Anolis sagrei: one gene and its partners. The protein of the gene in region 3 purifies or fractionates together with the protein of the main gene of each other region. This does not show direct contact. Links are inferred from orthologs where the notes say so. Each region holds a gene or a part of one and is shown on either strand. Other genes may lie near its edges. The genes, in order: FOXO3, USP18, SKP2 and CCNA1.

Region 1 (7,922 bases), on a different chromosome or scaffold from region 3:
CCCTCTCTATAATATATCCCCTCATTGACTCCCTCTCTTTCTATAGACAGAGATGTATCCCTCACAGCCACTCCCTCTATATCAGGCATGGACAAACTTGGGCCCTCCCTCCAGGTGTTTTGGACTCTAACTCTCACCATTCCTCTGATGGGGGAGATGGGGCCCGAAGCTGTTAGGAATGGTGGAAGTTGAAGTCCAAAACATCTGGAGGGAGGGCCCAAGTTGGCCAATGCTTGCTCTGTATACATCTCTCTTTCCCTCATATTCTTTTCTATATATATACATCTATAGATAATAGCCTCATACTCAAGAGCACGAGAGACGGGGGGAGCGGGGGGGGATCTTTAAACGCGTGGCTGTTTTTCCCGCTCTTTCCTGGAGCGCTGATTGGAGGGTTCGGAGTGGGAAACAATCTCCCCCCCCCCCCCCGGGCAGAAGAAGAAGAAGAAGGGGGCTCGTCACGCGCCCAATTGCCTGCCTGGCTACCTGCCGCCCTCGCGCCCAGAGGTCCATTGTGTGAGTGTGTGGCGCGAGCGAGGGAGTGCCTGGGCGCGCGGGACCTTTGCTCCCTCCCCTACCCCCTCCCTCGCGGGCGCGCTCACCTTCCACCCGGCGGAGCTGTTGCTGTCTCCCTTGTCCTTGAAGTAGGGCACGCAGCGCACCATCCACTCGTAGATCTGGGCGAGGGTGAGGCGCTTCTCGGGCGCGCTCTCGATGGCGCGGGTGATGAGGTCCGCGTAGGACAGGTTGCCCCACGCGTTCCTCCGGGAGGAGCACTTCCGCGGGGCCTGGGGCGGAGGGGGCGGCAGGGGCGGCGCTGCTGCCTGAGGAGAGGAGGGCTGCTGCTGCTGGGGCTGCTTACTGGGGCCCGGGGGAAAGGCGCCCTGCGGGAGAGTGGCCGCCGTGGGAGAGTCCTCGCTCCCCGCCGCGGGCCCCGCGGGCTCCTCGTCCTCCTCCTCGTCGTCGTCCTTCTCCTCGGGGATCATGGCGTCGCCCCCTCCCGCACCGCCTCCCGCCCCGGGCTGGCCCTGCAGCTCGGGCCTCTGCAGGGGCCACGTGCAGGACCGCGGGCGGCTCTGGGGCTCGAAGTCCGGGTCCAGCTCCACGTCCAGCGGCGACGCCGGAGACGCCTCGGCCATCCTTGCCCAGGGGGAGCGGCCCGAAGAGAGAGAGAGAGAGAAAGGAAGGAAGGAAAGAAAGAGCCCGCGCTGGACTCTCAGAGAGAGACAGCAAGAGAAGGATCACCGAGGCCGGGCGAAGAACGCGCCACTCTCCATTCAAGCTCCTCCGGCTTGAATAGCAATGGAAAGAAACACCCGAGAAAGGTGGTGGTGGAAGGAAGAAAAAAACCTCGATCCCACAGTCAAAGGTCCCAAGTGAGGGAAAAAGATGTCTTTTCACTGCTTGAAGGATGAAAAAGGCTTCTATCCCACAATCCGAGGCCCCACGTTAAGAAAGGGAGGAGAAAAACGACTAAATACCACTTCAGTCGCCCCTTTTTTCAATGGGAAAAAAAACAACTGGAAAATCGAAATCTCCACAGAGGAGGCGAGGAAGGAAAAAGCAGCCCTCCGCTCTCCTTTTTTCCTTCCTTGAGAAGAAAGAAGGATGCTCCTCAGCCCAGTCCTCCTCCCTCAAAAGCAATGGGACGGGCAGTTGGAAAAGCGAAGGGAGAAAAAGAAGCCCCTTCCCTCTCGAGTGCGGTCCCTTTCCCCCCTCTCCTGGTTGGGGACGAAAGAAAGAAAGCAGCAGCCCCTCCGCCAGGGGAGTCCTTCCTCCTCCTCCTCCTCCTCCTCCAAAAGCGAGACTGGGACGGACTTGCAAGCGGGATCTCTCTCTCTCTCACGCGCAAAGGCAGCAAACCGTGTGTTTGTTTATCTTTCACTCCGTGGCGCCGGATTCCTCCAATGGCAGCCGAGGGACCCCGGCCCCATTGCCCACATCACAGACTAGGGGCAGAAAAAGGCAAGAAGGGTCTTCTTCTCTTTCTCCTCCTCCTTCTCCAAAAGCTGGTTCAAAGGCACACCATCGCGCCCTGCAGCAGCAGCAGCTCCTTCCTCCGCCCTGAAAAAATGGGGGGAAATGCCAATACTAAAAAAAAGGGAGAGGGGAAAAAAGGAGGGAAAAGAAAGGAACTAACAAAAAAAAATACGCTGTTCTCTTTGCCCTCAAATCCTCTTTCGGGGAGAGAGAGAGAAAGGGAAGGAAAGCGGACGAGGGTCCCAACCTCGCTCCTCCTTCCTCCGCCCTGAAAAATCGGAAGAAATGCCAATACTCCAGAAGAGGGAGGGGGGAGGAACGGAGGAACGGACAAAAAATACGCCAGAGAGGGAGCTCAGTGGTTCTCCTTGCCCTCCAATCCTCTTTCGGGGAGAGAAGAGAGGGAAAGCGGCCGAGGGTCCCAAGCAGCAGCGGGTCTTTTCCCCCAACAGGTCCGGAAAGAGAGAGGAAGCCCCGAAGTCCTCCTCCTCCTCCTCTTTCTCTTCCTCCTTTGCAAGGTTTTCTCCCTGCTGCACCCACGGCGGCACCGCATTCATAACCTCCTCCTTCTTCTCCTCGCTGCTGCTGCTGCTGCCATCTTGACAGAGCTCCCCTTCTTCCCTTTCCTTCTTCCCTTCCCTTTCGCACTCCAGGAGAAAAGAAGCAAGGAAACAAGCGTGGCTCGGTCCAAGCTGGAGAGAAATCCCAGGAAGGGAAGGGGGTGCCGGAGCTCCTGTTTTCTCTGCAGCTGGCTCCGCTTCAGGCTTCCAAAGGGGAAGCCGTCCTAGAAGCAGCCCGATCCCGATTCCTCCAGAGATGCGCCTGCTGAAGGAACAGCACCAGCAGCAGCAGCGGAAGCGGGTCTCGTGCCTGCTGCAGCCCGCGCGAGCAGCAGCAGCAGCCTCCTCCTCCTTCCCGGCTCGCGCTCCGCTCTGCTGGCGCCCGCATTCCTTCTCCTAACAACCAGGAGCGGCAACACAAAGTTATAGGCACACGCAGCCAGGCTCAACCTAACCCGCTGGCTCTCGCCAAGCCACGCCCACTCGACCGCCTCTTGCCTGCCGCCTGGGAGGGGCCAGCGCCGGGAGGCGGGGGAAGGAGGCGGGGCTAGAGAGAGGCGGGGCTACCAGGAGTCGCGCTCGTGGCGTCCCTCCTGAAATCGGATCAAGGTCTGAAACAATGCAGGCGAAGTGTGCAGTAAACAAAGGCACCCCTAAACGAATATTTTGGGTTGCTGTAAGTCTTTCGGGCTCCATGGGCATGTTCCAGAAGCATTCTCTCCTGACGTTTCTCCTCATCTATGGCAGGCATCCTCAGAGGTTGTGAGGTGAGGAGAGAATGCTTCTGGAACATGGCCATACAGTCCGAAAGACTTACAGCAACCCAGTGATTCCGGCCATGAACATGTACGACAATCTATATAAGTAAAAATGTAATGTTCATTTGTGGGATTAACAGAACTCAAAAACCACTGGGCGAATTGACACCAAATTTGGACACAATACACCTGTCAGGTCAACAAGAGACAATCACTCATTAAAACACGGAAAAACACAGCAGAAGAGACTTTAAAAGCCAAAAAAATAAAAAAATACATTACAATGTATGTGCTAAACCACATATATACACATATACACAAATATACACACACAGAACACAGACTGGGCCACAGCTCTTGCTCCCACCAACCAAGCTTGAGATTGGAAGTGGGACTGAGAGAAGGGCGTCTCCTGACGATCCCAGGGCCTGGGCAGGTTTGTATAAGGGGATTCAATTAGTCAAATAGCCTAGACCTGAACCATTAGGGCTTTGAAGGTCATAACCAGCACTTTCAATTGTGCCCGGAAACAGGCTGGCAGTCATTGAAGCTGCTGCAACAAGAAGGTTGTCTGCTCCCTGTAGTCAGCCCCAGTGAGTAACCTGGACCAGCCAAAGTTTCTGAGCACTCTTACTTATTTTTATTTATCACATTTATATCCCACCTTTCTCAACCCCGAAGGGCGGCCTTACAAAGGCAACAGTTCAATGCCATATATGAATACAGTGGTAAATAAACAAAAACTTTAAAACCAAACCCATTAAAAACATAGCATTAAAACATCAATTAAAATCACATGATCCAAATCGTATTCCAGGTCCGGTCCAAGTGATCATTATATTAATTTGTAGTCTCATATTGCACTACTCCTGTTACTGGTTGAAAGCCTGATCCCAGAACCAAGTTTTCAGGGGGTTTTTTTCGTGATGGTCAGGTGAGATGGAGCAGATCTAATTTCACTGGGGAGAGAGTTCCACAGCCATGGAGCCACCACTGAGAAGGCAATTTATCTCATCACCACCAGTCGCACTTGTGAGGAGGGTGGGACTGAGAGCAGGATCTCCCCCAGTGATTTTAACCTCCGAGTTGGGTCATAGAGGGAGGCATCCCTGTGTAGAGCACATTATAATAATCCAGACAGGGTGTAACTAAAGCATGTACCACTGTGGCCAGATTGGGCTTCTCAAGGAATGGGTACTGTTGGCACACAAGTTTTAATTGTGCAAAGGCCCTCCTGAACACTGCCAATACCTGGGCCTCCACATTCAATATCAAGTCCAGGAGGACCCACAAACTGTGGACCTGTCTTCAGGGGAGTGTAACCCCATCCAGCATTGGCTGAATCCCTATTCCCTGATCTGACTGACCTGGAGTACCTCTATCTTGTCTGGATTAAGTTTCAATTTGTTTGCCCTCGTCCAGTCCATTACTGATGACAGGCAGTGGTTTAGGGTTAGGACAGCTTCCTTGGCATCAGGTGGAAAGAAGTAGTAGAGTTTTAGCTTCTTTTGCTCTTCTCTATCACCCACAAATCTATTACCCACAAATCACAATTCTGTTTTAAATGCACAGAAGCTAAGGTACACGCTGACTACTTTTTCACATACTAGAACATTGGACCAATGTTTTCAGCTCTGTTGTTTTGTTACAAAATGTGCATGGGTTAGGAAAACAACATTTTTAAAAACAAAACCAAAAAGTAATAGTGTAGTTGGATGTTTCTATTATCACTGCAACAGCCTGGGCAATTATTCTGGCCTTACATTTAGTTGAGTGGGTGAACAAGTTTGGACTTGCCTAGAACCATATTCATTTGGAATATTAGTCACAGAATCATAGAATAATAGAGTTGTAAGAGACCACATGGTCCATCTAGTCCAACCCCCTGCCATGCAATAAGTGAAAGGATCTTGTGGCACCTTAGAGCCTGGGAGAAAGATCCTAAGCCTGCTTCCTCAGATGCTCGCCTCTCCCTGCAGAGAAAGTCCTGTAATAAGATTTCAACTATGGGCCTGTCTACACCTGAGAAGAAGAAAACACATTGTTCATCCTGTATTTTCCAGAGCCGCATAGACCTAGAGGAGACAGCCACATGAAAAAACTTCAGAACTAATTTGTATCTTCAGCCAGAATGTGGCATGCAAGTAATCACAAACATCTAACACAGGCATGGGCAAACGATGGCCCTCCAGGTGTTTTGGACTTCAACTCCCACAATTCCTAACAGCCGGTACCAGCTGTTAGGAATTGTGGGAGTTGAAGTCCAAAACACCTGGAGGGCCATCATTTGGCTGTGCCTGATGTAACATCTTGTATCAGGATAGTCACACATATGAGGTGAGTACAGTTTTTGGGGGTACCCACTCATTCTTGAAAAAAGAGTTTGAAGGAAAGTCTACTTCAATCTTCCTGGTTAACAAATTCATGTTGAAGTCCAAAATCTAAAGATTACTGACTACTGGAACAGGCATAAACAAGAATATATACATGGATACATAACGTGTGTGTGTGCTGAGTTACAGCAACCACATGAATTTAATATGATTTTCTGAGGAAAGGAATAATACTCAAATATGTTTTGCCTGTTCCTTCCTCTAAATATAGTCTCTAGCACCTGCCATTTGTTGGTAATCTTTCACCTAGGAACTAACCAGCAATGATCCTGCTTAGCTTCCAAGATCAGGCAGGATCTGGTGTCTTTAGGGTATTTAGGCCTCAAAATGCATAACTTGCCTCTTAGCTATTGAAAATATGTCCCAGTTCATCTTGATCAGATATACCAGTGAACCAGATGGGATATAGAAGGATCTTATACTGACAATAATCTTTACTGTGATTGTTCAGTGACTATAATCCATTAAAATATGGGGCTTGACCTTTCTTTCTTGGGAACTTTAACTAAATAATACTGTAAAGTTGCAACATTATTTGTGTGTTTTGGCCCACTTTCAAAACTGTATGTTTGACAAAGAAACTTTCGTCATTGTTTATTCTAGATAGCAAAACCTCAGCAATCTTTAAAAAGTGGTTCCAATATCGTGGCTGCTGCATACATATAACCTTAGGTTTTCTAAATGCAGGTAATAATGAGTAAATAATATTGTTTTTAAATGCTACACTTCTATATACAAAAAAGACAAAGAAATGCCCTCAAATGAATATAGTAGGACTTCCTTATATGTGTAGAACTAGACTGTACATTTTCTGTATGGCTTATTTATAATTTCACTGTTCTTTGTGGGATTATTGTGGCATGAGCATTTTCTTCTGACGATGATTTCTGAACATTTCAAAAACAAGCCAAATGCTTAAACTAAAAACAATAGAGTTGCAAATTTTTATAGCTGGTGCAGTGTAATTTAATTTAACACAGTTTTTATTTACACACACACACAAAGGTAGGGTTTCATTTTAAGTTCTCTGTGTAAATTATACTTTGTTTAAACAGTGACTGTGAAAAAGTCAACATGAAGTTCAAACAGATAAAGAGTTCATTTTATCCAGCATTCCATTAAGATACATCATGCCCTTAACTGACTACCAGGGGAGAATTTTCAGCTAATGCCCAGACTGACTTCACTTTTAAGTGAAAATTGGTGTTTTGTCATAAGAATATTTAAAGCAGGACCGCCCAATATATTTTGCTTCCTGAGGCAAAGTACAAGATGCCATATGCAGAGACAAAAGCCAACTGGCCTGGCCGTGGACTCTTTAGTCCAGCGTTTCTCTACTTGGGAGTTGGGTGGGACCATCAGAAAACACATATTTCTGATGGTCTTAGGAACTTCTTTGGCAGAAAAGGCTGAAGATCTCACCGCCTGTCCTTCTCTTCCTTTTTGGAAACAGATGGGAAATCCTCCCATCAAAAGCCCTCCTTCTGCTGTGATTGGCTGGCCTCTCAGCCAAGGAGAGGGTTGTTTCTGAGACTAGAAGCAGGGAGGGAAGAGCAGGCATGCTCGGCACATGGCAGTGTGGTGCGCATGCTCAGGCAAGAGAGCACACGAGGTTGGAGGGAGGTTCACGCCAGCGAGTCCCTTCAAGACATGGAAAGCACCTGTGCAACATGGGACTGAGAGTGGCCCAGCAGCATCAGGAGGAGCAGCAGCAGAAGAGGCTTAGGTAATTTGTAAGGCTATTTATTAGGGGGGAAAGTCAATCTTTCCTTTTGTTTTTATTAATGCTCCCATTAGAAAATGCATAATAATGTGGGTAAATTACAAATCCCAAAATCGCAGGTCAATCCTCCCCAAATCCCAGCAGTATTCACAGTTGGCCATGTTGGGTCTGTGTGCCAAGTTTGGTCCAGATCTATCTGTTTGAGTCCACAGTGCTCTCTGGATGTAGGTGAACTACAATTTCAAAACTCAAGGTCAATGCCCACCAAACCCTTCCAGTATTTTCTTTTGGTTCTGTGTGCCAAGGTTGGTTCAATTCCATCGTTGGTGGAATTCAGAATGCTCTTTGATTGTAGGTGAACTATAAATCCCAGCAACTACAATTCCGAAATGACAAAATCAACCCCCTCTCCAACCCCACCAGTATTAAAATTTGGGCATATCAGGTATGATTGAAAATACATCCTGCTTATCAGAAATTTATATGACAATTCATAACAGTAGCAAAA
Region 2 (7,855 bases), on a different chromosome or scaffold from region 3:
CTCAGTGCTGGTATCTTTTAGGAAAGAAACATGAAAATTGACTTATTTATTTATGTATTTACTATATTTCTACCCTGTCCTCTCCCACTCCAAAGGGGACTCAGAGCGGCTTACAAATTGGCAACAATTCTATGCCATATAAACAAACATATAAAAACAATGAATGGGTTAACAAAGAGTGGGCTTCTTATTTAAATGTTTAGAAGGAAAGTGCACCCTGTGCAGTTCTGGTACAACAAATTAGACCCTGGGTTGAAAATTCTTTAGTATTACACACAGTGGCATTTGCTATACAGGTACTTTGCATATTATTCCAGTTAGAAATATAATTTGAAGTAGTTTCTCTGTAGGTAACACAGGACATCTTTCTCATAATCAACAGTCCAAAGTCCAAACCATCTCTCTGTTCTGAAAGTCTAATAGAGTCTCTGTTTCTAGTCTGAAAGTCCAATGGAGTCTCTAAGTGTACAGTTCCTACTGAAGTCTCTAAGCATACCTGTTCCTACTGTCTCCTTAAACGCCTACTTTTCTACTGAAGTCTAAACCGAACTGTGCTAAAATGGAGTCTGAGTCCTGAACAAGCCCAGATCTGATCACATGGTCTGCAGCCCCTCCCACAACAAAAGAATTACGGAAAACTGCAAACCAACACACACACACACAATACAGTAAGCAATTATTTACATAACAAATAACTAGTGGAGGCTTGAGAAGGTTGCTATTTCCAATACAGGATCTATGGATATGGAGGGCCTACTGCACTTTTCTTTTGCACCAGGTACCATTCGATAGAACAGGCACGGGCAAACTTGGGCCCTCCAGGTGTTTTGGACTTCAGCTCCCATCATTCCTAACAGCCTATCGGCTGCTAGGAATTGTGGGAATTGAAGTCCAAAACACCTGGAGGGCCCAAGTTTGCCCGTGCCTGTAATAGACGCTTCTAGGAGAAACATTTGAACCAGAAGGCTCCGTTTTAGTGGATTTTGAGGGCACAGTAAGCTTGGTTCATAGTCAGAAATGGCAAGCTAACAGGACTGATTGCTGAAAATAAACAGAAGGAGCCTTAATGTGCCTTAAAACTATTTTGACGGTTTTATATCAAGGAGAAGAGATGCCTACTGTAGTGGCAACCACATATTAGTGGTTGGTGTCAATAAGGCACTGAATCTGCATTGGCCTTCACGTCCAAACTTTAAAGGAGATACTCAGGGTGCTGAATACTATCCTTAAATAACACTATGTAACAAAAAATGAAAACAAACGTTTCCTGGTTTGAAACGGTTATTCCCATTTAATTGTGCAGTAGTTACTTTGAAAGTAGTTATACTCCCTATATGCTATCTTAAACCAATTTAGCATATAGCATATAGGTGGTATATAACACCACATAAGATAGGGAAATTCAAAAAAAATACGAATACAAAATGCTGGAAATGCAGAAAACATGAAGGGACATATTACCACCTATGGTGGACATGCCCAAAAGCAATAACATATTGGAAAAGTATACAAAAATCATTACAAAAAAATTTAAAGATAAATATACCCCTAAAACCAGAAACATTCCTACTAGGGATCCATGATATAAAAATGGAGAAGAATAAGGACAAAATTCTATTTCTCTTAACAACTGCGGCCAGAATAATATATGCAAAGCATTGGAAGGAAAAAGAACCCCCGGGAGAAGAAGAATGGCTAACAAAGATCCTGGATATAAGAAATATGGACAAATTAACTTACATACTTTCAAAAAAAGGGGGCACTCCATCAGTAGAAACTGACTGGAAACAAGTAACAACATACTTGATAGAAGAAAAAAAATATGAAAATAATCATATGAAAAAGTGGCAAGCAAAACAAAAGGGGGAGAGCAGAAGAGAGAAGAGAGAGGAGTAGTTTGGAAGAAAGAAGGAGCGAAGGAAGAGGAAGAACCTCCAGAAGATACCGGGAAGTCAATGTCAGATATACACCTATCACACACCCTCTTTTCCCTCACAGTGACCTCCTTAATTTCTTTTTCTACACCTGGCACACCCTTTATTCTGAACAACTACCAAAAGCATCTCCCCCACTCTACCCCCCTCTATACTATCATTCCCCCTCTATCCCCATCTTTTGTCCCCACCTTCTTATACTTACCCGATTAGATACCGTATACTTTTTTTTTAACTAAAACTAATAAAGATTATTTTAAACTTCAAAAAAAAAAAAAGAAAGTAGTTATACTCCAGAAACTTCATTTTTGTGGCTGCCAAACTATGTTGCATTGCTTGAGACACAGATATTAATTGAAAAACGATAGCAAAATGTGCTGCAGGATAAGTTTTGTAAACTTTTTCCATGCTTTCAGGATACAAACAATTAGGAAATTACATTTATAACCTAGGAGCAAAAAAAGTGTTATGTAGTGTAATTTAAATGTCTTAGGTTGCATCTATACTGTAGAATTAATGCAGTTTGATTCTACTTGAACTGCCATGCCTGTATGGAATGCTATGAAATCATGGAAGTTGTAGTTTTGCAAGATCCGGTGCTTCACCAAAACACAAATCCCAGGATTCCAGAGCTTTTAGCTTGGCAGTTAAAGTGATGCTAAACTGCATTAATTCTACAGCACGGATGCATCCCAGTTCACAGTAAACGTGTTTACCTTATCCAACTGTCATCTGGCCCTGACACACATGAAGGATGACCTTCTTCTGGTTTTCCATGGTGAGAGCCTTCAGCAATCTAGGGTTGGGGCATGAGAAAAGCACACATTTCCTTCTCTTAAGTTTCATTTCTTGGCTGTGACACATCAGGAAAGAAGGGGAGACGTAAACCTAAGCCAAAAGGATGTACGTGGGGAGGGACATGAAATCTAATGCACATAGCGAAGGGAATTTCATATGTGAGGCTCCACAGATGATGTGGCAAAATTGCAGGAAGAGGGTTTTGGAGAAACAAAAAAATGCAGCAGGGAGAACTATATGCTGCCTTTATAAACCTTAGTGAGGCATTTGATACTGTAAATAGAGAGACGTTATGGAGGAAATTAACTGATATCAATATGGAGCCCAGACTGCTGGCACTGATCAAAGCACTTTACATAAATACTTGAAAGTGTGACTTGGGATGCAAGGAGCCATGACAAATAGTGTAGAACAGGGTTTCTCAACTGGGGGTTTGTGAGGAAGTGTCAGGGGTCATCAAAGACCATCAGAAAACACTGGATGTTCTGTTCATCATGGGGGTTCTGTGTGGAAAGTTTGGCCCAACTCTATCATTTGTGGGGTTCAGAATGCTCTTTGATTGTAGGTGAACTATACATCCCAGAAACTACAACTCCCAAATGTCAAGCCCTATTTTCCCTAAACTCCACCAGTGTTCACATTTGGGCATATTGAGTATTTGTGCCAAGTTTGGTCCAAATCCATCATTGTTTGAATCCACAGTGCTCTCTGGATGTAGGTGAACTACAACTCCCAAACTCAAGCTCAATGCCCACCAAACTATTCCAGTATTCTCTCTTGTTCATGGGAGTTCTGTGTGCCAAGTTTGGTTCAATTCCATCGTTGGTGGGGTTCAGAATGTGCTTTGATTGAAGGTGAACTATAAATCCTAGCAACTATAACTCTCAAATGACAAAATCAATCCCACCAGTATTCAAATATGGCCGTATTGGGTATTTGTGCCAAATTTGGTCCAGTGAATGAAAATACATCCTGCATGCCAGGTATTTACATGACAATTCATAACAATAGCAATATTACAGTTCTGAAGTAACAAAAAAAATAATGTTATGGTTGGGGGTCAACACAACACGAGGAACTATATTAAGGGGTCATGACATTAGGGAGGTTGAGAACCACTGTCCTAGAGGAAATGAAGTCTGAACTCTCCTTAGAAGTCCAGATGGCTAAAGTGAAACTGTTGTGCTTGGCCATATACTAGGAAAGTAATAGTCACTAGAAAAGAAAGTAATGCTTGGAAAGGTAGAGGGCAGTAGGAAAATAGTGCTCTTTGATTGTAGGTGAACTATAAATTCCAGAAACTACAACTCCCAAATGTCAAAGTCTATTTTCGCCAAACTCTATAAGTGTTCACATTTGGGCATATTGAGTATTTGTGCCAAATTTGGTCCAGATCCATTGTTGTTTGAGTCCACAATGCTCTTTGGATGTAGGTGAACTATAATTCCAAAACTCAAGCTCAATGCCTACCAAACCCTTCTAGTATTTTCTGTTGGTCACAGGAGTTCAGTGTGCCAAGTTTGGTTCAATTCCATCGTTGGTGGAGTTCAGAATGCTCTTTGATTGTAGGTGAACTATAAATCCCAGCAACTACAACTCCCAAATGTCAAAGTCTATTTTCCCCAAACTCCATCAGTGTTCACATTTGGGCATATTGAGTATTCATGCCATGGAAGTTCTGTGTGCCAAGTTTGGTCCAATTCCGTCATTGATGGAGTTCAGAATGCTCTTTGATTGTAGGTGAACTATAAATCCCAGCAACTACAACTCCCAAATGTCAAAGTCTATTTTCTCCAAACTCCATCAGTGTTCACATTTGGGCATATTGAGTATTCATAACAATAGTAACATTACAGTTCTGAAGTAGCAACAAAAATAATGTTATGGTTGGGGGTTACCACAACATGAGGAACTGTATTAAGGGGTCGCAGCATTAGGAAGACTGAGAAACACTGGTGTAGAGGCACCTAAGAGAGCAGAGTCCTTGGGCTGCATAGGTAGGAAAGGAAGGTGGAGGAGAACGAGGAGGCGGAGGCGCTTTGGAAACGAAGCTGGTTAAGTTTCACTTTCTAAAGCGAGCCGCCCTTCAGCGGGAAATCAAAACTCATGGCCGTCTGCTCGGTGCTGCCCTCTAGAAGTGACGCACAGCTGTCAAAAAGGGAGCCGACCGCGCCAGGATCGGAAGTTTCCCTGTCGCTAGTGTGGACGCACAGTCGAGCGGAGTGGAGACCAAGCAGCCGGGAAAGGTTGAGCCCTCCTCCTCCTCCTCCATCACCGTAAGTTACCTTCCAAGCCATCCTTCTCCAACCTGGCCTTTTGGGGTTGATCTACAGTACTGTAGAGTTATTGCACTCAGGCAAGACTTAGTTCCATGCTCTGGGATCCTCGGAATTGAAGTTTGGTGGGGCACCAGGACTCTTTAATTGTAGGTGAACTATAAATCCCAGCAAGTATGTCAAAGTCTATTTTCTCCAAACTCCATCAGCAGGGAAGGCTAAAGACCAGGTAAGACTACAACTCCCAGGATTCCATAACATTGAGCCATGGACCTCACAATGCCTGCCATAGATGCGGACGAAACATCAGGAGAGAATGCTTCTGGAACATGGCCATACAGCCCAAACTTATTTACACACTTATTTACTTATTTAGGTGAGTCCTCATAGTCAAAGGATGATGGTCCTCCAAGTCGGTGGCTGTGGAGCCTTATTCTTGACCCACATTAGGTGATCCCTCATAGCCCAAGGATGATGGTCCTCCAAGTCGGTGGGTCTGTAGGTGGCTGTGGAGCCCTATTCTTGACCCACATGTTCTCCCGCAGTGAGAACATCGGTTTCCAGGTTGAAAGTGGTCCCGGTTAAGGTTGGCTTGACGCACCTTCCTCTTGGCACGTTTCTCCCTTTTGCCCTCCATTTGTGCCTCTTTGAATTCTGCAGCACTGCTGGTCACAGCTGACCTCCAGTTAGAGTACTCAAGGGCCAGGGCTTCCCAGTTCTCAGTGTCTATGCCAGAGTTGATTAGGGTTGGCTTGACACGCCTTCCTCTTGGCACGTTTCTCCCTTTTGCCCTCCATTTGTGCCTCTTTGAATTCTGCAGCACTGCTGGTCACAGCTGACCTCCAGTTAGAGTACTCAAGGGCCAGGGCTTCCCAGTTCTCAGTGTCTATGCCAGAGTTGATTAGGGTTGGCTTGACACGCCTTCCTCTTGGCACGTTTCTCCCTTTTGCCCTCCATTCGTGCCTCTTCGAATTCTGCAGCACTGCTGGTCACAGCTGACCTCCAGTTAGAGCACTCAAGGGCCAGGACTTCCCAGTTCTTGCTGTCTGTGCCACAGTTTTTAAGGCTGGCTTTCAGCCCATCTTTAAATCTCTTTTCCTGTCCACCAACATTACATTTTCCGTTCTTGAGTTGGGAATATAGTAACTGCTTTGAGAGATGGTGATTGGGCATTTGGACAACATGGCCACTCCAGCAGAGTTGATGGTGTAGGAGCATCGCTTCAATGCTGGTGGTCTTTGCTTCTTCCAGCACACTGATACTTGTCCTCCTGTCTTTCCAAGAGTTTTGCAGGATTTTCCGGAGGCAGTGTTGATAGAATCGTTCTAGGAGTTGAGTGTGACATCTGTAGACAGTTCACGTCTCACAGGCGTATAGCAGGGTTGGGAGGACAATAGCTTTGTAAACCAGCAGCTTAGTCTCCCTACGGATGTCCCAGTTCTCAAACACTCTGCTTCATTCGGAAAAATGCTGCACTCGCAGAGCTCTGGCGGTGTTTTATTTCAGTGTCAATGTTGGCTTTTGTGGAGAGGTGGCTGCCAAGGACCTCACAACCTCTAAGGATGCCTGCCATAGATGCAGGCGAAATGTCAGGAGAGAATGTTTCTGGAACATGGCCATACAGACCAGAAAACTCACAACAACTCAGTGATTCCAGCTATGAAAGCCTTCGAAAATACATTGAGCCATGGATAGTTGAAGTGCTCTCAAACTGCATTCATCCTGCAGTGTAGATGTACCCTTTGAATCCCTTTTTTTCTGGGTTGGGCATCATTGGATCCACATTGTGTTTATATTTTTTGCAACATTGGTCCTTCAAATGCATCCTCACTTCTAAATGCATTGCCTTTAAATTCCCGGAGAGATGATGCAACTGACTCCCATGTTATATATGTGGATATGGGTGTATCTGCAGTTTGACATCAGTTTAACTGCCATGCCACAGAATCCTGGGAGTTGTTGTTTTTCAAGGTTTTTAGTCTTCTCTGCCAAAGAAGTTAGATGCCTCACCAAAGTACAATTCCCAGGATTTGATAGCATTGAGGCATGGCAGTCAAAGTGGCATCAAACTGTGTTAATTCTACAGTGTAGATCAGGCATGGGCAAACTTGAGCCCTCTAGGTGTTTGGGACTCCAAATCCCACCATTCCTAACAGCCTCAGGCCCCTTCCTTTCCCCCCTCAGCTGCTTAAGCTGCCATGTTCCAGCAGCATTCTCTCCTGACGTTTTGCCTACATCTATGGCAGGCATCCTCAGAGGTTGTGAGGTCTGTTGGAAACTAGGAAAATGGGGTTTATATATCTGTGGATATAGTTTCCTACTTTCCAACATACCTCACAACCTTTGAGGATGCCTGCCAAAGATGCAGGCATAATGTCAGGAGAGAATGCTTCTGGAACATGGCCATACAGCTCAGAAAATTCACAACAACACAGTGATTCCGGCTATGAAAGCCTTTAACAACACTTAGTTTTAATCTTGGGAGCATGAGACCTTTGGTTTAATGGCTTTCTTTCCATTGCTTCAAATGTAATTTATCCAAGCATTTTATGTACAGTTTAAATGTCTATTTTCCAGGTAACTATATATGTTATATTTTGGCAAAATGTCAGATGCTTTCCTGGTACTTTGCAATTACTAAATGAATCCATAAAGTAATAGCCCAAACAAGCAAGTCAGCTGATTCCCTTATCAAAATGGTAACAAATGTAAACAAGGAAGAATAAAGGGAAACAATATAATAACAAACATTGCAATAAAATATTGCGATGTTGAAATCTGCTTGGAATATTGACCAGGAAATCCTCTTTGTATCTATGCCAATTGGTCTATAATATAATCAGTTAT
Region 3 (7,405 bases):
AACAACAACAACAAAACTAGAAAAATTGTTCCCTGCCCTAACTTTCTAACACTGCTTATTTATTTATTTGTCGTGTCAGGGCAACCAGTCAATTGTATTACATTTCTAACAGAACAAAACAAACAAACAAACAGACAAAATACAAAATTTGCGAGTTTGGAAGTAGATTAAATGTCCTTTGACCAGTATCTGGCCACTTGGAGTGCTTCTGGTGTTTCTGCAAGAAGGTCCTCCATTGTGCATGTGGCAGGGCTCAGATTGCATTGCAGCAGGTGGTCAGTGGTTTGCTCTTCTCCACACTCGCATGTCGTGGATTCCACTTTGTGGCCCCATTTCTTAAGGTTGGCTCTGCATCTCGTGGTGCCAGAGCGCAGTCTGTTCAGCGCCTTCCAAGTCGCCCAGTCGTCTGTGTGCCCAGGGGGGAGTTTCTCATTTGGTATCAGCCATTGATTGAGGTTCTGGGTTTGAGCCTGCCACTTTTGGACTCTCGCTTGCTGAGGTGTTCCAGCAAGTGTCTCTGTAGATCTTAGAAAACTATTTCTAGATTTAAGTCGTTGATGTGCTGGCTGATACCCAAACAGGGGATGAGCTGGAGATGTCTCTGCCTTGGTCCTTTCACTATTGGCTGCTACTTCCCGGCGGATGTCAGGTGGTGCAATACCAGCTTAATATCTTTCATAAATTGAAATAATTAACATGATAGGACCTCTGTCATTGGAGTTGTGCCTGATGATGCACCCATCTTTCCAGTCCGGCAGTGTCCCAACCAAAAGGCTTCCAAGGGTTCAGGCAATCCCTGAGTTATAAACATCTGACTTATAAACAACTCATAGTGAAGAACGGGGGTGAGACAAAAGGAAGGGAGAGAAATCTTCCCCTAGATGAAGAAATTTACTCCTGGAAGAGTAATCATGGGGAAAAGGTATCTCCACTGAGGCTTTATGAACAATCCTTGCTTCCACAACAAGCCCAATTTATCAAAATCCGATTATTACAGAGATAGAAAGTTAGGTGAAATCTTCTGAACAGGGGCTCAGACAGCAAGACAAACACCACAGGGATGTTAACCTTTCCCTATACTATCCAAAGATAGATAGATAGATAGATAGACTGGAGTTATACTTAAAAATGTATCTGTTTGGACTTACATAAGAACATACAGAACCTATCTTGCTGCCTGTATTGGGAAATAGTATCTGCAGGACTCTTCCAGTTATGGGACGTGTCAAGAAGAGGAAGCTGGAGAGATCCCTTGCAATGCTGCAGCAAAGGATCTAGATCAGTGGTTCTCAACCTGTGGGTCCCAAGATGTTTTGGGCTTCAACTCCCAAAATCCTAACAGCTGGTAAACTGGCTGGGATTTCTGGGAGTTATTGGCCAAAACACTTGGGGACCCACAGGTTGAGAACCACTGATCTAGATAATTAAATTGTGATGGCTATTATATGACGACTATTAAACAATTACTATTACCGTTTAAAGCAAATAAGCTCAATCACTTTATTTGTTACCATTAGTAATTAGGAATCCTGAATGTCTTTTTGCGATTCTCGATCTCACCTGCCGCCACCTCCAGGAGCCGCCTGGGTCGGCGGACAATCACAAATTCTGCCTCCTTCACTTTCTGCCGTTTTTGGGGTGGACTCACACACATCAGCAGCTCTTGGGGGGTGTTCTCGTTGCCCAGTTTATCCTTAAGGACAGAGACTCCCATGACGGACAGCAGCTCTGACGTCTTGTTGGAATGCCATCCCCATATGAAGTCCGTGTTGACATTGCTGCCCGAATCTGGAATTTCCTGGAGAAGTCTCCTACAAAGGAAGGGAAACACGGTGGTATATAGCTGGCATTTATATCGTAAGAAAGTGAAGAACAACAGAAGGAGAGAGCTACAGATATACTCTATTTCCTCAATTCTAATGGCCCTTCCAGACAGGCCCTATATCCCAGAATCTGATCCAAAGTTTTCTGTTTATCCCAGATTATCTGGCAGTGTGGACTCATATAATCCAGTTTAAAGCAGAACAACTTGGATGAGATCATGGGATATAGGGCCTGCCTAGAAGGGTCCCAAGATGCATATTTCCCCTCAGGCTGAGAAGGGTAGTATACAAATATGGTAAATAAATTACAACGCCATAAAACTCTCCAGCAGCGTGCAAAAGAATGAGGAAGTACTCCATCGGTCTCACAAGTGGATGGTGAAGTGACAGTTCCCCCCGGTGGCTGGAATTCAAAATGCATACCCTCATGAAGCTGGAGTGTTAAACAGCCTCTGTGTCTCTGTCTATATATGTTGTGTGTCTATGGCACTGAATGTTTATGTGCATTGTAATCCTTCCTGAGTCCCTTGTAGGGTGAGAAGAGCGGAATATGAATGCTGTAAATAAATAAATAATAATAATAAGTGCATTTCTTTTACAGTATAGATCAGGTAGGGGCAAATTTGGATACTCCAGGTGTTTTGGACTTCAACTCCCACAATTCCTAACAGCTGCCGGCTGTTAGGAATTGTGGGAGTTGAAGTCCAAAACACCTGGAATACCCAAATTTGCCCCTACCTGATCTACAATATATATGCACCTTAAGACATTTGGGAATTACAAACACGCTAGTCCAAACAAAAAATAAGTTTGCAATTCATAAATAACTTAATGCAAGAACATGTCCATCAAATACTACTGCACCGGATGATGGCTAAAATCCTGAAGCCAAGGGGGAGGAAAGAGGCGCGTGATCCCATCCCTTGTTTTGGGCGGGATCCACTGCGATTCCCCCTGCTCTCCACCCTAATGTAACCACTTTGCACCCATCCGCTTTTACCTGTGCATGGTGCTTGCAAATGGGGCTTTTGCATGGAGAACCAGGACCCCCCGATCCCTTTTTTCCCTCTCTTGCAACGCCAAACCCAGCAAATCTTCTCAGCAGCAGCAGCAGCCCCGGAAAACCCGCACAGCAGAAAAAGGCTCGCGCGCTTCGCCTTCCCGGGCCAACGTTCTCCCGGATCTCGCAATGGCTCCTGGGAATGGTAGTGCTTTGCAGCGGAGAAGTTACTTTTTTAAATGTTCATTTTTAAACTAATTTGGGATTCAGTTTCCCAAAAATGCAACTTATATCCAACAAATGGATATATAGAGAGATAGATATGGATATAAGATAGAAAAATATGGATATAGATATAGATAAAGAGAGAGATATAAATTGATATATAGTCAGATAGATATGGATATAGATAGATATGTATATAGATAGATATTGATATAGAGAGAAATGAATATGGAGATAGATAGCTAGATAGATATAAACAGATGTATAGAGAGATTAATATATCCCCCCCCCCCCCCTGTTGTGTCAGCTCCACTGGCTGCCGATCCAATTCCGAGCACAATTCAAAGTGCTGGCTTTGACCTACAAAACCCTGTACGGTTCCAGCCCAGTGTATTTGTCCGAACGGATCTCCCTCTACGTCCCACTTCGGAGTCTAAGATCCTTTGGGGAGGCCCTGCTCTCGACCCCACCTCTATCACAAGTGAGGTTGGCGGGTGTGAGGAGCAGGGCCTTCTCGGTGGTGGCCCCTCACCTGTGGAACTCACTTCCCGGGGAGATTGGATCGGCGAATTCCCTTCGAAAAAAATTAAAGACCTGGATGTGGGACCGGGCATTTGGACATTCTGGCAGCTAAAGAAAGACCTTGATGATGAGCAGGAATTGACGAAACGGAATGGATTTACGGAACTCTGAGCGCTGAGCATAGGATTAGTTTACTATTGTGTTAGTGTATTGTTAGAGCCCCCGGTGGCGTTAAAGCACTGAGCTGCTGAACTTGTTGATTGAAAGGTCGCAGGTTCGATTCCGGGGAGCGGCGTGAGCTACCGCTGTCAGCCCTAGCTTCTGCCAACCTAGCAGTTCGAAAACATGCAAAATGTGAGTAGATCAATAGGTACCGCTCCGGCGGGAAGGTAACGGCGCTCCATGCAGTCATGCCGGCCACATGACCTTGGAGGTGTCTACGGACAATGCTGGCTCTTCGGCTTAGAAATGGAGATGAGCACCACACCCCAGAGTCAGACATGACTGGACTTAATGTCAGGGGACTACCTTTACCTTTACCTTTAGTGTATTGTTATGTACTGATGATTTTAATTGTTAACTGTTTAAGTGCTGTTATGTATGTATGTATATTTGATATAGGCATCGAATTGTGCCTTCCTTTGTAAGCCGCCCTGAGTCCCCCCTCGGGGGTGAGAAGGGCGGGGTAAAAGTAACTGAAATAAATAAATTAATATGGATATGGATAAATATAAATAGATATATAGAGATAGATATGGATATAAATAGAGAGATATGGAGATAGATAAATATAGAAATAGATAGATAAAAAAGATATAGAGAGGTAGATATGGAAATAGAGAGATATGGATATAGATAGGTAGATAGATAGATAGATAGATAGAAATAGATATAGAGATGAATATGGATATGGATATACATAGCTATCAATAGATATAGAGAGAGATATGTAGATAGATAGATAGATAGATAGATATAGAGAGAGAGATGAATATGGATATATATAGATAGATGGATGTAGATATAAATATATAGAGATAGATATGGATATAAATAGAGAGATATGGAGATAGATAGATAGATAGATAGATATAAATAGATATATATAGAGAGATATGTAAATAGAGAGATATGGATATAGCTAGATAGCGAGATAGATATCAATAGATATATAGAGAGATATTAATATAGATAGATAGATATAAATAGATAATAGAGATAGATATGGATATAGATAGATAGATGGAGATATAAATAGATATATAGAGATAGATATGGATATAAATAGAGAGATATGGAGATAGATAGATAGAGATATATAGAGAGAGATATGGAAATAGAGAGATGTGGATATAGTTAGCTAGCTAACTAGATATCAATAGATATATAGATATGTGGATATAGATAGATAGATATCGATATAGATAGATAGATATAAATAGAAATAAATACAGATAAATGTGTATATGGATATAGAGAGAGATGGCTATAGCTAGAGAGATAGATGGATATAAATAGATAAAGATATGGATATAGAGAGATATGGAGAGATAGATGGATATAAATAGATATATAGAGATAGATATGGATATAAATGGAAAGATATGACAGTGGAACTCTCTGTCCTGCAGTGCGGTGGAGGCTCCTTCTTTGGAGGCTTTTAAACAGAGGTTGGACTGGATGGCCCACGAGGTCTCTTCCAACTCAATGATTCTATGATTCTAGATAGATAAAAAGATAGATAGAAAGATATATATAGAGAGATATGGATATAGATAGAGAGATAGATAGATAGATATCAATAGATAGAGAGAGATGGATATAGATATATCTATATAGATAGATATAGATATGGATATAGAGAGATATGGATGTAGCTAGATATATAGATGGATATAAATAGATATATAGATACAGATATGGATATAGAATCCTAGAGTTGGAAAAGACCTCATGGGCCATCCTGTCCAACCCCCTGCCAAGAAGCAGGAAAACTGCATTCAAAGCACACTCGACAGATGGTCATCCAGCCTCTGTTTAAAAGCTTCCAAAGAAGGAACCTCTACCACATTCCAGGGCAGAGAGTTCCACTCATGAACAGCTCTCATAGTCAGGAAGTTCTTCCTAATGTTCAGATGGAATCTCCTTTCTTGTAGTTTGAGATATGGATATAGAGAAATAGATAGATGGATATATATATATAGATAGATAGATAGATAGATAGCTAGATATAGATATAGATAGATAGATAGATAGATAGATAGATATAGATATGGATATGGATATAGAGAGATATGGATATGGATATAGATAGATAGGTAAGAGGTAAAGGTTGTCCCCTGACATTAAGTCCAGTCATGTGTGACTCTGGGGTGTGGTGCTCATCTCCATTTCTAAGTCAAAGAGCCAGTGTTGTCCATAGACACCTCCAAGGTCATGTGGCCGGCATGACTGCATGGAGCGCCGTTAGACAGATAGATGGACATAAATAGATATATAGAGATATAAATATGGATAGAGATATATGGATATGGATATAGATCAATAGATGGATATAAATAGAGAAAGATGGAAATGGATAGATAGGTAAATATAAATAGATATATAGAGAGACAGATATAGATATAGATAGATTCAAAGCACACTCGACAGATGGTCATCCAGCCTCTGTTTAAAAGCTTCCAAAGAAGGAGCCTCTACCACATTCCAGGACAGAGAGTTCCACTCATGAACAGCTCTCATAGGAAGATGTTTTGTAGATGGTGTTTTTCTTATTTTTTAAATTAATTTTGTATTTCCAAAAATGCAACTTAAATCCAACAAATCGAATATCTATCTATCTATCTATCTATCTATCTATCTATCTATCTATCTATCTATCTACCTTTCTACCTACCTACCTACCTACCTACCTATCTATCTATCTATCTATCTATCTATCTATCTATCTATCTATCTATCTATCTATCTATCTATCTATCTATCTCCTAGGGATTGTGGGAGTTGAAGTCCAAAACACCTGGAGGGCCCCACTTGGCCCAGGCCTGTTAAACAGATTCCTACAAGCAGAAAGACTCCAATTCCCATGCCCCCTTGCGTGAGTGGGCGGGGTTTCCCGTATGGGGCGGGGACCTTTTTCAAATCCCGGCCGGCGATTGGGCGAGGAGGAGGTTGCGTCAGAGGCGGCCGTGGCGTTGGTTGGGCGGCGGCGCAGGAGGAAGAGGCGAGCCGGCTTCGGCCTGAAGAGCAGGAAGCGCAGTGAGTGAGTGAGTGAGTGGCTTCGCTGAGGAGAGCGGCAGAGGGAGAGGGAGATGGGCGAGGCCTGCGCCCAACGGGGCTGAGTAAGTACCGCCAAGGCCTTGTTGTTTACATGCAGGGGGTGGTAGTCGGGCAAGGCCTTCTCTGCCGAAGAGGCCGATGCCTCAGCAAACGTCAACACCTAGGATTCCCTGACTGAGGCTGTAGCACTCAGTAGTATGTGTAGATGCCCTCACTGTCTCGAAAATGCTACCAGATCTGTTTGTATATTGATATTACAGACTAACGTGGCCATGTTTTGGTAAATTACATCCCAGGGCCTTTCCACACAGCCATATAACCCAGAATATCAAGGCAGAATAACCCACAATATCTGTTTTGAACTGGAATATCTGAAGCCCCTTCCACACAGCTGAATAAAAGCCCACATTATCTGCTTTGAACTGGAATATATGTCAATGTGGACTCAGGGCCCTTCCACACAGCTGTATATCTGGCCCAGCTTACCTGTCCGAATTTATCTCTCCTTATGAACCATCCAAGACCCTAAGAGCTTCTGGGGAGGCCCTGCTCTCGT
Region 4 (6,897 bases), on a different chromosome or scaffold from region 3:
ATTAAAAAAACCTGCAAAGTGCATTCTGCTTTTGAATGCTTGCCTTTGGTATTGAAGAAATTTTATTAATGGCATCATCCCCCAACTTAGAGTCTTGCAGATAGATTGACCTAAAATAACCATTCTTTTTCACACCTAGGGATGGTGGGATTTGTTGTGCTTCACATCCATAAGACTGCAGGTTGGAGAAAAGGTTAATCAGACCTTTCTTCTAGTTGCTGCTGCTGGCCCCTTATACACTGACTGGTCAATGACGTTCGAAGGAAGCTTCAGGCTGTGGCAGCTAGACAACAAACTTCCACAAAAAGTGCAAGAAAGACAGCCCTAAATGTGCTTCAGTGCTCGGTGATTTGTGTAATCACCATCTGGGCCTCAAACTGGTTCCAGAATGGAACGCCAAAGGCCATGTGCCTTTGAACCCCTCCCAATTTATGGCAACCCCATCACAAGGGTTGTTTTTTTTTAAAAAAGCTTTGTTCAGAAGGGGCCTACCATTGCATTCTTCTGAGGTTGAGAGCATGTGACCTTCCCAAGGTCAACCATTGGGTTTCCAAGACAGTGTAGCAATTCAAACCTTGGCCTCACAGAGTCCTAGTCCAATACTTAAACTATCACTCCATTCTGGCTCTTTCATCAGTACTAGTTAAAATATATACAAATACATTAAACATTTTGTTGAGAGGCATCCTGTTTCAGTGAGAATCATAAGCATGTTATCCTAGGTGGTAAGTGGCTTCCCAAAGCTATTTCACAGCAATTAAACCTCCCAGATTCCTCAGATGGCCTTTCATGCCAAGAAAAGGATGAATTGCTTCTTGGGGTTTACAGGTTGCAAGACTGCCTTATTCAACATCCAAAGCTACTTGTTTTTCAAAACCTGGAGTAAACATTCAGCTATTTCTTACAATACTCAATTTTCAAGCAATCCCTGTGGCCCTCACGAGCAAAATACTGGGTATAGTTTGACCACAGATTCATTCAGACATACTGATAGCCATGTCAAAGGCTATCAGTAAACATATCAGGAAATTAAATAATGCCAAAACTTAAAACCGGAGCATTATATGAACTTACCTGCAGCTTCCCCCAAACTGCAAACTGGTGTCACTGACCCATCACCTGCTTCCTTCCCTCCCTTCTCAAACCAAATCCATCTGTTTGGAACCAATGGGATTAGAGTGATTTAAGGGGAATGGAGCTGAAGATCCTAAGGTTTAAGGACCTCAGGTGGAACCAGGTTTCACTGCATTTACTTCCAAATGACTACATCAAAAGATGAGGAGATATTTAAGTGTTCCCAGGAGTATGTCCTGCAGAATCCAACAGGTCATGTTTCCAAACAGTTTGCAACTCTGTTGCTTTATTTCCAGAGGTATTCCTGTTGTATTCAAATCATAAAAACATGTTTCACTTGGAAAGAATCAGAGGGGGGGAAATAGGTGCATTTACACTCCCATCCTTCCTCTAATACTCTCAATACAGCATACACGTTTATTTCTCCACCTTGCAACCTCAAAAGGTAGTTCAGGCAAAAGTCGGTCCAATTTCCCCCAGTGACTTCCATGGCTTTGTAGACACTATACACTAGGCCTGAGCAAACTTGGGCCTTCCAGGTGTTTTGGACTTAAGCTTAAGCGGCTAAAGGGGGAAAGGAAGGGGCCCGAGGCTGTTGTTATTGTAGGAGTTGAAGTCCAGAACACCTGGAAGCAGGCCCATAGCCAGGATTTCAATTCGGGAGGGGGGCTGAGTTTGTTTCGGGGGTGCGGGGAGCGAGTCTGAGTGAAAGAGGGTCTAGCCTAGCAAACCTTTTGTATCGTTTTCTAATAACCCCATGCATATGGGATATATTGAGTATGGTGATCAGATCATGATATGAATAAACATAACAGTTTAAATAATGCACCAGTAAGGCCTTTTTGCGAACCACCATGAGAATTTCGGGGGGGGGGGGGGCTGAAGCCTGGAAGCCCCATGTTTTCCCAGGTCTGCGATACACTGAGTAATGCAGTTTGGCACTTGAACTGCCATAGCTCAATGCTATAAAATCATGGGAGTTTGTCGTTCAGCAGTTTGCCTTCTTTAACAATGAGAGCCTCACCAAACTACAAACCACCAGGAATCCACAGCATTGAGCCTTGCAGTTTTCATTCACACTGTACAATTAATGCAGTTTGGCAGCATGCTCCCTGCTATGGAATCTTGGGATCTGCAGTTTGGTGAAGGACCAGCACTCAATATTGGGCAGAGAAGGTTCAAAACCTTGTAAAACTATAAGCTTCCTTTCTCCTTCCTTTCTTCCTTTTTGTCCTTCCTTCCTTCTTTCTTTCCTTCCTCCTTACCTTCCTCCCTTCTCTCTCTCTCCTTCCATCCTTTCCTTCCACCCTTTTGTCCTTCCTTCCTTCCCTCTCTCCCTCTTTCTCATTCCTTCCCTATTGTCTTCCCTTCTCTTTTTCCTTCCTCTTCCCTTCCCTTCCACCCTTTCATCTTTCCTTCCTTCCCCCTTTCCTCCCTCTCTTCTTCTTTCTCCTTCCATCCTTACCTCTCTCCCTTTCTCCTTCCTTCCTTACCTTTTGTCTTTCCTCCCTTCTTCCATCTCTCCCTCTTTCTTCCATCCTTCCCTTCCTCCCTTTCGTTCTTCCTTCCTTCTCTCTTTCCTTCCTTCCTTCCATCACCAGGCAGTCATTCCTCCTAGCAGGGAGGCCCCCAAGTTAGAAAGTTTGCCCTTGCCTGCTCTACAGGGCTAAAAAACCATAAAAGAAAAGTTTGCTCCTCCTCTTCTGCCTGGCGTTTCCCCAAAGAGCAAGTGCCCACTGGTGGGGGTCTGAGGTTGGAAGGGCTTCCCATGCTCCCCAGCAGAAGCCCCCCCCCCCCCCGCTTCCTTTCTGCCCCGCATTTCCCTGCCAAAGGAGGGAGACCCATTTCTATGACGCAGCCGCCCAGTCCCCGACCTGTTGCGTCCTTTCCAGCTGGCAGCGGAGGTTTCCCTCCTGGCCTCTCCTGTCCCAACCCAAAGCAGGCCAAGGCTCCGAAACAAAGCCGGGACTGCGAATGGCCCGTGGGGACGCCCTCCTCGCAGCCTATATAGAGGACCGGACGCCGCCTCTTCCTCCGCCGCTACTTGGAAGCCGCCCGCGACTGTCTGTTGGGGATGGCTGTTGGTTGGAGCCTCTCGCTCCTTCCTCGGCATGCGGCAGGGAAGCCCAGGGAGAGCCAGCCTAGGCCCCTTCCCGCAAGAGAAACCACCACCACAACAACGCGTGGCTCAGTCTCGTCGCGTGTCCCGAGGTCCTTTTCTCCCCGGGCACAGCCACAGACCTTGTGAAGCAACAACTCCCAGGAACCCATAGCCTTGAGCCATTGCAGTTCAAAATGAGTTGATCTTACAGGGTAGATCAATGCACCCAAGGAGGTCCTTGGCCTCCATGGGTGCATCTATATCAGGCATGGGCAAACTTGGGCCCTCCAGGTGTGTTTTGGACTTCAACTCCCACAATTCCTGGCCTCAGGCCCTTTCTGTTCCCCCCTCAACCGCTTAAGCAAGGGCAAACTTAGGCCCTCCAGGTGTGTGTTGAACTTCAACTCCCAAAATTCCTGGCCTCAGATCCTTTCTGTTCCCTCCTCAGCCGCTTAATCATAGGCAAACTTGGGCCCTCCAGGTGTGTTTTGGACTTCAACTCCAAAACACACCTGGAGGGCCCAAGTTTGCCCATGCCTGATCTATATACTGTAGAAGTAATCCAGTTTTGACACCACTGGGAACTGCCCTGGCTCAATGCTTATTTGAAACACAAGATTTGTACACAGCCAACAAAATCACTATGCTGGCTGTTGTATTGATCACACTTCCCAAGTCTCTACAACTGTGTGGTGTATCAGCCAATAATGCGTGTAGATCTGAGCCTTTTGCAGCTGACAGGTGGTAATTTTGTCAGTGCCAATTGTGTTTAAGTGCAGAACAAGGTCTTTAGGAACTGCACCCATGTGCCAATCACCACTGGGCCCACCTTGACTGGCTTGTGCCAGTAAAGTAAAGTGTTATTATTATTACTATATTTATACCCCATGGGATCCTTTGATTTGCAGTTTATTGAGGCACAAGCACTCTGGCAAAGAAGGCCTTGTCAAACTACAAATCCCAGGATTCTGTAGCCTTGAGAAGGCAACCCCAGGTCGTGACAAGCTTAGTTCACTGTGCAATATACATCACAAATGTCAAACTCAAGGCCTGCAGGTGGAATCCGGCCCGTCATGTCATTTCATGTGTCCCCCTGGATGCTGGACTACAACTCCTGTATTCCTCATCATTAGGTATCATGAGTAGAGCTGATGAGAATTGGGATACAGTGGCATCTAGAAGGCTGCAGTTTGTTCTCTTTAGTCAGGAGAGTGGGCTCTGAATTTAGATATGTGAATATGGTAGAATCACTGAGTTGGAAGAGACCTCGTGGGCCATCCAGTCCAACCCCCTGCCAAGAAGCAGGAAATCACAGTCAAAGAACACATTTCAAATAGAAATAAAGTGGACATGCACAAAAATAAACATACTTTTTCATCTTACTGTATGTTTTGTTCCATTTTGAGAAATATTTTTATTTTATTTATGGTTTGCCATTGTTAATATTTTGAGTTAGATATATACCCACATGCCTGCAACACCTTTATTAGGACTGAGGACAGTTTCACAACAGGGTGCAACCTTTTGTATTCTCCAGAACGCTTTATCTAGGATGGCAGTGGTTTGACTTATTTATTTATGAACTGTTTAAATTGACTGTTTTTAAATTAACTTCAAGTAAGCCTGGTGATGCATTCTGGAGAACTGGAAATGCCGTTCACTGTTGTGGAAGCGTCGTTAATCCTAATAAAGGTATTGCCTCCTTATAAACTGACCTGGTAGAATTAATTTGCTCATTTATATACATTTGGCATGTAGGCTATGCAAGGAAATAAAATGGTATTAAAAATCCCCAGGAGGCATTTTTCAAAGTGTGACTCAGTTCTAGGTTTTAATCCGAGAGCAGTAAAGTTTTGCCATTGTTTTCCTGTTAGTTTCAACAGAAATTAATTATGCTTTGCTTTCCGTTGGTCTCCCTCTATGTGTTTGAGAGGATACTTAAGACTCCCTGCTTGAGATTTTCAGGGCTGTTCTTTTAATGAATGTTTTATTCAAGCCTCTTGTGTTTGGAGAGGTGGTTTAAGCAGCAAGAACAACAGCTGGAGCTCCCACAGTGAGCAGGGCTAATCTATAGGTGCAGCTGGAAGCTTGAGCTCTTTGTGGTTGTTATATGTTGTCAAGCTGACTTTGATTTATGGTGAATCTATGAATGCGAGACCTCCAAGAGCCCCACTCATCAAATGTCCTGCTCAAGTCTCCTAAACTCAGGGCAGTGGCTTCTTTGGGGGCATCTACACTGTAGAATTAACACAGCTATACACCAATTGAACTGCCATGGCTCAGTTTAGTTTTATAATGCCTTTCACCAAATTACAGTTCCCAAGGCTTCACAGTACTGAATCAGGGCAGTTAAAGTTGTGTCAAACGACATTAATTCTACAGTACAGACACTCTGGAATGTGTCCAGAAGAGGGCGACGAAAATGATCAAGGGTCTGGAGAACAAGCCCTATGAGGAGCTGCTTAAAGAGCTAGGCATTCAATTGACAGATCAGTCCTGATTTGTACTAGCCCTCTGTCTGTCTGTCTCTCTCTCTCTCTCTATTTTATCTAGTTCCTTCATATTTGCTCTTCCAAGTTTTATCCTTCTTCTGGTTTCTCGACTATCTAAATTTTGATCAATGAGTGAGTCAAATTATGGAAAATCTTTCACTATTTGAGGTCTTCAATATACCCACTTCAAAGTTATGTAAAGCATCTGTGGTCATTATTTTGGTTTTTAATTTTTTTTAGCTTTAACTCTGCTTTTGAACTGCCTTCCTTAACTGCCATCAATACTCGTTCAAAGTCTTTGCTATATTCTGCAATGGGATCAACTCCATATCTTACATTTCTGGTCTTCCTTCCCTCACTTTTGATGCCACCTTCTTCTGAGTCTAATCCTGCTTTGCATGTGATCTGCTTTGACCCCATTGCCAGTGTTTCTCTATATTGTGTCATTCTAGTGGCAGTTTTGTCAGGATATAATTCTGACAAATATAATACATCAAGTCAAGCAAACTGACATTTTTATTTCTTTTAGAGCAAACCCTATGGGTGGCCTTGGATAAATTATATCTTGCAGAATCAAAGGCTTTGTTGCAATCAAAGGATTACATGCTTTATTGGCATATATATATATATATATATATATATATATATATATGGTTATGTTGATTGTTTTTAATTGCTCTTTTGTGAATGTATGGCATGGAATTGTGCTAGCCTGTAACCTGCCTTGAGTTGCCATATCGCTCAGAAAGGCAGGCTTTAAATATAGCAAATAAATAAAGGCATAGGTGATTTCCCCCCTAAAATGTAGAGGTGATTCCATTATTCAACATATGTTTGCAAAAAATAACTCTTAGTAGTTTGCCTTTTTGTTAAAAAGCAGTTTAGACATTGGTTTTTCTTGCTTCATATGTAGCAAAAGTCTTTTCTTGTAAGATTTTAAGCATCCCTTTGCATGTATAGGAGACCAGGGCAGCAGCAGCAGCAATCACTCACATCTGAGTAGGATGGTGGCCTTCCAAGCCTTGGGTCCGTAGGTGGCTGTGGAGACCTTTTCTTGACCCACATGTTATTCCACAGTGAGGACACCAGTTTCCAGATGGAAGGCGGTCCTGGTCAGGGTTGGCATGATGCACCTTCCTGTTGACGTGTTTCTTCCTTTCGCCCTCCATTTGGCCTCAGCACTGTTGGTAACAGCTGACTTCCAGTTAGAGTGTTCAAGAGCCAGGGCTT

The links.
Region 1: the proteins of SKP2 (region 3) and FOXO3 purify together in Homo sapiens (affinity purification with western blotting; 3 studies listed by BioGRID). This does not show direct contact. The link is inferred for Anolis sagrei from reciprocal best matches to the Homo sapiens genes SKP2 and FOXO3.
Region 2: the proteins of SKP2 (region 3) and USP18 purify together in Homo sapiens (affinity purification with western blotting; 4 studies listed by BioGRID and IntAct, with this or other methods). This does not show direct contact. The link is inferred for Anolis sagrei from reciprocal best matches to the Homo sapiens genes SKP2 and USP18.
Region 4: the proteins of SKP2 (region 3) and CCNA1 purify together in Homo sapiens (affinity purification with western blotting; 4 studies listed by BioGRID). This does not show direct contact. The link is inferred for Anolis sagrei from reciprocal best matches to the Homo sapiens genes SKP2 and CCNA1.

Annotation. Positions count from the first base shown.
Region 1 is NC_090021.1:94,338,708-94,346,629, forward strand, and holds the start of FOXO3 (forkhead box protein O3), read right to left. Parts: upstream 3,012-7,922; 5' UTR 1,140-3,011; coding exon 603-1,139; intron 1-602. UniProt on the Homo sapiens protein: Transcriptional activator that recognizes and binds to the DNA sequence 5'-[AG]TAAA[TC]A-3' and regulates different processes, such as apoptosis and autophagy.
Region 2 is NC_090025.1:180,571,968-180,579,822, forward strand, and holds the start of USP18 (ubl carboxyl-terminal hydrolase 18), read left to right. Parts: upstream 1-4,839; 5' UTR 4,840-5,008; intron 5,009-7,855. UniProt on the Homo sapiens protein: Interferon-induced ISG15-specific protease that plays a crucial role for maintaining a proper balance of ISG15-conjugated proteins in cells. Regulates protein ISGylation by efficiently cleaving ISG15 conjugates linked via isopeptide bonds.
Region 3 is NC_090022.1:279,560,755-279,568,159, forward strand, and holds the start of SKP2 (S-phase kinase-associated protein 2), read right to left. Parts: upstream 3,010-7,405; 5' UTR 2,832-3,009; coding exon 2,824-2,831; intron 1,812-2,823; coding exon 1,561-1,811; intron 1-1,560. UniProt on the Homo sapiens protein: Substrate recognition component of a SCF (SKP1-CUL1-F-box protein) E3 ubiquitin-protein ligase complex which mediates the ubiquitination and subsequent proteasomal degradation of target proteins involved in cell cycle progression, signal transduction and transcription.
Region 4 is NC_090023.1:35,422,342-35,429,238, reverse strand, and holds the start of CCNA1 (cyclin-A1), read right to left. Parts: upstream 3,019-6,897; 5' UTR 2,949-3,018; intron 1-2,948. UniProt on the Homo sapiens protein: May be involved in the control of the cell cycle at the G1/S (start) and G2/M (mitosis) transitions. May primarily function in the control of the germline meiotic cell cycle and additionally in the control of mitotic cell cycle in some somatic cells.